Linked DNA regions of Xenopus tropicalis. The protein of the gene in region 1 interacts with the protein of each later gene in a pairwise test. Links are inferred from orthologs where the notes say so. Each region holds a gene or a part of one and is shown on either strand. Other genes may lie near its edges. The genes, in order: c5orf22 and elof1.

Evidence for each region.
Region 2: the proteins of c5orf22 (region 1) and elof1 interact in binary tests that used the Homo sapiens proteins (3 or more experiments, as listed by UniProt). The two-hybrid records come from large-scale screens. The link is inferred for Xenopus tropicalis from reciprocal best matches to the Homo sapiens genes C5orf22 and ELOF1.

Annotation. Positions count from the first base shown.
Region 1 is NC_030682.2:84,259,595-84,263,415, reverse strand, and holds part of c5orf22 (UPF0489 protein C5orf22 homolog), read right to left. Parts: intron 3,311-3,821; 5' UTR 3,304-3,310; coding exon 3,229-3,303; coding exon of another isoform or gene 3,213-3,228; intron 347-3,212; coding exon 201-346; intron 1-200.
Region 2 is NC_030679.2:139,392,370-139,396,290, forward strand, and holds the start of elof1 (transcription elongation factor 1 homolog), read right to left. Parts: upstream 2,855-3,921; 5' UTR 2,802-2,854; intron 2,208-2,801; exon of another isoform or gene 2,142-2,207; intron 2,051-2,141; exon of another isoform or gene 1,955-2,050; intron 770-1,954; 5' UTR 738-769; coding exon 622-737; intron 391-621; coding exon 320-390; intron 1-319. UniProt on the Homo sapiens protein: Factor involved in transcription-coupled nucleotide excision repair (TC-NER), a mechanism that rapidly removes RNA polymerase II-blocking lesions from the transcribed strand of active genes.

The DNA.
Region 1 (3,821 bases):
GTCATTATCTGTTTATGTTTTGTCTCTACTTTAAATAGCTTTCTCAAGGAAATATAGCCCACAACAGAGCAAGCCAAAAAACAAATAAACATATTTTCAAACAATTTGCTCACGTTTTATCTGCTGAACTGAAAAGATCTATTAAGTAGAACAAGGCAAATAAAAGCAAAGATTTTAAGAAAATAATTTCAAAGCATTACCTAAACAAGGATTCCTTGTCAAACACAGTATCTGCAGGCATGTTCACTGGTATCAGGAGATCTGGATGGGAATCAAAGTGAATGAAGCTAATGTTGCTGACAGGCAGGTGTTTTGACCCTATAGCTCGATAAATAAAGGGCAGGACCTGCAGAGAGAAAACATAATGTAAAAAGTGCACTTTCAGGCTGATTCCATTTATTGTTGTTTCTGCTCTAGTTTCAAACCCTCCTGCTGCAAAATCACTGCTCCCTGTATGATATACATAGGGAGGGTTTCTAGCAAAGGAGAATCATTAACGCTTCCACAAGATTAACTCAGTAGGGTTGGAGGGTAAAACCAATGGATAACTCTGGAGGTAACAATTTAAACAATGGTGCTATTATATAGAATGGAAAACTATGATTTAGTTTGTTAGAAAGGGATAGGCAGCAGGAGGTAAAAGTAATGATGTATTTCTTTTTTTAACTGTGAAAACAGTAGGCAGAACAGTTTAGGTTCTAGTTTATGCCGTAAGTAGTGGAGCTGGTTAAAACTGAGAACACCTGGAAATGGAAAACACAACAAATAAATAAATAAATAAGTCTTGCAACCAATTTACTTGTGCAGTGAGACTTGGCAAGTGGGTGTAATACTAGGATGGAACCAACAGCTCAAGCTTTGTTTTAAAACACATTTAGTTTCCAGAAAGGTACACCTCAGAGTTTAGTGGTTTTTTTTTTCTTTTTTTTAAAAAAAGTGTCAACATCATCTCGATGATGACTTAAAAGGGAACATTTACTTTACCCTGTAAGCTAATTCCGTTGGACACTTGGACTTTTGTAAAAAAAAAGGTGCATAAACACTATAAATATAAATGAATTTTGTTTTACACAGACATGCCTGATCCCACAGATTTTAAGGAAACAATAATAATGTATTGAAGGGACCATACCCCACCCCCCCCACCTGCTTAGCCTCACAGCTTGATCCAGCCCCTGCTTTCCCATGTTCCATTGTAAACTGATGAATTATAGGACTTAAAGGTCTGTTCTTAAAGGAGAAAGAAAGGCAAAGTCACTTGGGGGTGCCAAAATGTTAGGCACCCCCAAGTGACTTAAATCGCTTACCTTGTACCCCGGGCTGGTGCCCCTGTTAGGTGAGAAAAGCACCAGCCCGGGGTAGCAGCGAGCGCTTCCTTCTTCCTGTTTTGTGCGCGAGTGCATGCGCAGTAGAGTGATAAGCCGAACTTTAACAACAAAGTTAGCTTTTCGCTCTACTGCGTATGTGGCGGCCCAGGGATTTTGCTGGCAGAAGAAAGAGGAAGAAGGAAGCGATCGCTCAAGGTACCCTGGGCTGGTGCTGATTTCTCCTAACAGGGGCACCAGCCTGGGGTACCAGGTAAGCGATTTAAGTCACTTGGGGGTGCCTAACATTTTGGCACCCCCAAGTGACTTTGCCTTTCCTTCTCCTTTAAAGTGTCCTCTGTTTTTATACAGGTGGTGCACAGATTCTCTGTAAACGCCAAATCCCAGAATTTATGGCTGGGAAATGGTTCTTCATCTTGACAAACAGGCTGGCAACAAAACCGGACTGATGTAATTAATGATTAATTTATATGATAAAGTGTCCTGTATAGGCATGAAACACTTAGGGCTTAAAATGCCCTATGATGAATTAAATTCTTAAATAAATAGCATATTTTAAGCAGCATATTGGTTCTGATCAGTTACATGGCTTGTGCCTTTATTCAGGTTTATGACTTATGTGCAGTCACCTCATGGTACTGCTATCAGTAATTCCCGGGCATCTAGGCCTTACTCTCACTCAGATGCCTCTCACCTTTTATATGTTTCTACATATTAGTGTTTATTCATACTTTACAGTGTTTAATGCACTATGCAGTATTTTATATTGTGCTGTGTACTAAGCACTGTCATTTTTCCGTTTCCGCTAGTTTTACACCTTTCCTTTGTTACTTAAGTTGAAGCTCAACAGTATGTCTCAGTTAATTGATGAAGGAAGGAGTTTAGCTGCATGTCAAACTACACACAAGCTCAGGGTAACACGTAGTGAGGACAGCAGGGCAAGGAATAAAAAAACATTTTAATATTAAAACAATGCACAATATGTATGTTCAACACAAATTAAACCATTCTTAAAAAGGGAGATTTTCTGCAGACACTGATCTAAACTGTATATGATTGTTCTGATCAAAGTCATGTACCAGCTAGCTGTCACTCTGGTGTACATGCAACTTAAAATTAGCTGGATTGATTTTAACACCCTTTTCCATATTTACTTTGTATATTCCAGTGGATAAAATAAGAAGTCACAAATTAGCTAAATTACAACAAATAAAATGTACTTATATTTTATATTATATCACCTAAACTTGTGTTACATGTACTAGACCTTAAAGAAGAACTAAACCTTTTTTTCACCTATCTTTAAAATAACTCTAAAAACCCCTCAGAATAACATACCTTACTTAGTCCCTACATTTAGTCTGATCTGGTTTCTGATTTATAAGTTGAAACTTCCAGTTCCTTTCCTTCTTCCTGGTACAGTGAAGCCCCACCCTTCTTCCTGTTCAGCTCTCCTCATGTCTGACTACAGGACAGTCAAAGAGGAGAGCCTTCTGGGCATGGCTGACAGAAAAGCAGCTTTCTGGGAATGCAGAGAATAGGAGCCAGTGTACTGCAGCAGCTTTTTTTCCTGTGCCCATTCATAACTGCCTGACTCACTGTGCACTCCCAGAAAGCTTCTTCTCTATCAGCCATGAACAAAAGCACTAAGGTATGTTATTCTGGGGGTTGTTTAGAGTTTACTTCTTCTTCAAGGATAAACAATGCAACCACTCAGGAGCTTCTGTGGGTAAATTCTACTGCAGTAGATCGTAGGATGATTATGCAAATGTATACAATACTGGCAGTCAAAGTATGTAATATGTATGTATGTAATTTTGTCCAATAGATACTTTACACCCAGGACATCTAGAATGTCCTTTGCGTGCACTCATACATTAACTGTACCTGCCATTCTACGTACATCATGGTGATCCTCTACGACCCAGACTGGTAGATTGTTGTATTTTCGTAGGCGGTGAGATTGTTCGCTGCTCATTGTGACACTTGAGGAGGAGAAAAACATTTAAACCAAATTTATAGTTTCTGCTTCTCGCACAATTGCCCTATAGAACAAGAAATTAGCTGCTGTAGCTCCCACCCTTCCCACCTACAGCGAGGTGATACCAGTGGCCAGCTCCCACCTTTCCTAGCTACAGCCAGGTGATCCTTGTGGTGGGCAAAAAAAAAAGGGGGGGCATCTATTTAGGAATTTTAACCTTGTAAGCTGCAGGTAAAACGCAGTCCATGTAAAAAATGTATAATGAAGCAGTAGAATTTTTAATGAATCAGATGAAAATCAGTATGGAACTGACCAGATTGCGGATGTCTTTGACATAATTGGCTGGCTTGAATATAATGCAATATATGGAAAAACAATGCATGCTTTATTTAAACAGGAGATCATTTCTTAGTAGCTTAAAGAAGAAGGAAAGGCATTTTGCCATTTTACTGCCAATAGATTAGCATTAGTGCAAGCTGGAAAGCTATATTTATTCTGCAGAAAGCTTTACCATA
Region 2 (3,921 bases), on another chromosome or scaffold:
ATGTAGACTGCTGGCCTGCAGAACGCTGCTTGGAATAAAACGGTGTCTCTGTGTTTCCAAAACTCGGCTCCGAGCTTGAGATTTAAAAATGGCACCTACTTTGAGGCCACTGGGGGGTCTAGGCGGTGAAGTGGAAAAGCAGCCCAATGCCACAATAAGTGAAAAGCAATATTTTGCTTTACTTGTCTTTTAAATAATTAAAAAAAAAACTAACCAAAGTAGACCAACTGCAAACTATCTTACAATATCACTAGTTGCAATACACTTTTAACTACCACCTTATGGCTGAGGTGACAACAAACACTCAGTGATAGGATACAGGTTATTGGAGTCTGGAACTCCTCCAGGCACACCGTACACGAAATGACACCCGTATTGCGCGATCGATCCCTGTGTGCAAGGAAAAGGGGGAAAGACAAGTGTTACACAGATTTACCGGCTATAGAAGGACTTCAGAAGTCACAGGGGTGTTTCCCCTTTCCCTTACAACAGACTAAACCATTAAACACCCCACCCCCTTGCTACTCCATCTCTCTGTATCTCTGCTAAGCCTAGCGTGAGCTCTGACCAAGCCACAATCCCACGGTGCACTCTCACCCCAGTGGAAACGGCTTTGCTTACATTTTAACATCACAGGACTTCTCGTGGTTACAGAATGGACATGTGAACTGGGTGTCAAGGTTCCCAGTCATCTTCTTCTTGGGTGGAGGCTTTCTCTTTGACTTCCTGCGTCCCATCTCTGCCTCTGGATTCTACGTATGAATCAAAGCTAAAAAAACAAACAAAAAAAAACATTTTAGCAGGTAAACATTTTTGTAAACATTCCCACAGGGACAACTTGGCTGCCTTGCCCACTTGGAGGAGGGGCCAAAATGCCTCCCCTGACCTCTATGTGAATCTTATGATATTGCTTGTCGGGCAGCAGTTGTGTGAAATCATTGTCTCCACACAGAAGGCATTTTGGAGCCAGCTGTATGGGCTAAAAAAAAAGGCATCAGGCAAGAGACCAAAATGGTAACATATGCCCACATTGCCCCCAAAATTCCCATAAACACAAGACATTTCCAGACCTGCTAGGCGATTGTTTCTCATGTGCAAGCAGGGGCATTACAACTGCAGTAGCTGTGTATATAAAGCTTAGCATCTGCTTAAACCTGCTTTATCCTAAAATAAATTGATATGGCCACCCCCATCCAGTTTTCCAAATCCCATCATCCCTCAGTGCAGGCTGGTTAATCAGATCCAGTGTATTAACTTGCAAAACAATACCCTTAAAGACTTTAGCATTAGAGAAGAGACTATATTCTCTATATATTATATATACAGACAAACAACAATGGCTGCCAGATTAGCATCAGTAGGGCATTTTGCTCCTGAAGCTGGCCATACACTGACCGAATTGGCAGCTTATTGCCCCGTGTGTGGGGGCTTCTGTGGCCCCACCCCCTGCTGATCTGGATGACTACTTTGTGACTCAAATAAAATGTAACAGTAGTCGCCTGTCCTCGGCCTGCCTTCAGCCTGCATCCTCCAATCCCACAATCCACTGCAGCACATAGGGCTGGGCGATATACCGTTTAATACCGAATACCAGTGTTTTTTTTTTTAAACTATATTCATTTTTCAGATACCGCAATACCGGTGTGTAAGGGCACTCACCCGTGCGGCCCGGTCTCGCGCGAGCGGCTTTTTGCCGCCCCTGGTAACTGGGGTGCTTCTGCCGCCTGATGTGAGTTTCTCAACTCGCCTAATGGCAGAAGCGCCCCTACACGCGCCCCGTTGTCCGTGGGATGTTGCGCGCACACACACACACGCGCGTCAAAGCGTGCACGTCCATGACGCGCTGACGGCGCCGGTTCTGCGCATGCGTGGGGGGTATTTAAAGCTATCAAACACCTCCTCCTGCGCTATGTTGTCTGCGGCCTTGCCTGGGAACTAAGCCTGCCTGATTTACCTTACGACTTTCTGTTGCCGATCCTTCGCTTGCCTGACTCTGATTTTCAATACTGCAGTAATTATTCTCTAATTTATTAGGAAACGGGGTTAACACCTAATCATGCATGGAAAAAAAAAAATACCGTCAAATACCGTGACACCGATATAATTTTGAAAAATACCGTGATATAAATTTTTGGTCATACCGCCCAGCTCTAGCAGCACACGTGACTTCAATAAGGAAAGGAACATCCCAGTGCAATGCATTGTGGGTTATGTAGTCCCTGCATGCTGTCTGTAAGCTGTGAAGCTGTTACAATCTGTAACATCAGTGTTTTAGTCCCTCCTCCCCTGCCGGGATTTCAAATGATGCAGAAAGAGAAGAGCTGTTTTGCAGCTGGATTTCAGCCTATAAATGGGATTTATTCCTACTGTTTGAAGGAACAGATTACAGTTAAAAGGTATATTAGGGGTTTCTGTGTTGTGTGGGGCTTTTAAGCAAATATTGATGGCGACCTGATCCTAAGGGCAAACTGCAACTACCCAACGCCTCCCTGAGAGAAAGGCGAATCAGCGATGGAGATATAAGCCCCGCACATAAACACCAACAGCTGCCTCTGAGATTCCCTTCGCTAATTGTTGGACTACATCTCCCAGCATGCCCCACGCAACTGTGAAAGCCTGCTGGGTATAACGCTCCACAGACACGCAGCTCTAGTCACTAACGTGGCGCCGACGTGGGCAAATAAACACAGCTACATGCGTGTAATGGCAGCCGCACAGGGGAAGGACAAGGGCAGCTTCACACAAGCGCGGTTCAATCGAACTCTAACGCGTATAATACCGTATCGGAGATTTCTATCTACCTATTTCCCGCCTGGTAATCCGCAATCTTCTTCTCACTGCGCCTCAATGCTTATCCTCCTCCTAACTTTCCAACTTCCGGTGACCACAGCGGCCTCCAATCAGCGGATCCGGAGCAGCCATTGCGCCCGCCTCCTGAGCGCTCTAATTGGTTCTTCGTGTTTAACAGCTGCGACGATGGTTGGCGGCACGGCCATGCCAATCGTTACGCGGTAAGCGATTGGATCAGGCTGGGAGATTATCCTAGCTCCGATTGGACGGATATTTGCAGCGTCACCTCAGGTACGGGTTGCTAGGGGGCGTGCTGGTTGCTAAGCGAGGCCTAGAACACGAGGGAAAGCCTCGCTGTATCCTATTGGTTGTTTACTGAAACGTAATGCCCGCCTTAGTACACATTGCTGTGGGGTTGCATCATTTGCGTTTGAATAAAAAGTTGTCCTTGTATTGTTTACCTTGCTGGTTTTAATTGACTAGTTATTTTAGCTAATTCCACTAAAACACACCTCCCAATGGCAACCATTAAAAATACACTATTATATAAAAAAGTAAGAGACGCAAGTACTAAAGACAGCTGAATTGCACTCATTTTTTGACTGAATACAGTAAAGCGCCTTGACTTGGGTTTATAGTAATGTGGCTGCTTATTTACCTAAGGGCACTCAGACTGGGCTAGGTTGGGATCCCTTATCCGGAAACCCGATAACCAGAAAGCTCCAAATTACGGAAAGCCCGTCTCCCATAGACTCCATTTTAATCAAATAATACAGAATTTTAAAACGGATTCCATTTTCTCTGTAGTAATAAAACAGTACCTGTACTTGATCCCAACTAAGATATAATTACCCCTTATTGGGGCAGAACAGCCCTATTGGGTTTATTTAATGGTTAAATGATTCCCTTTTCTCTGTAATAATAAAACAGTACCTGTACTTGATCCCAACTAAGATATAATTACCCCTTATTGGGGGCAGAACAGCCCTATTGGGTTTATTTAATGGTTAAATGATTCCCTTTTCTCTGTAATAATAAAACAGTACCTGTACTTGATCCCAACTAAGATATAATTACCCCTTATTGGGGGCAGAACAGCCCTATTGGGTTTATTTCATGGTTAAATGATTC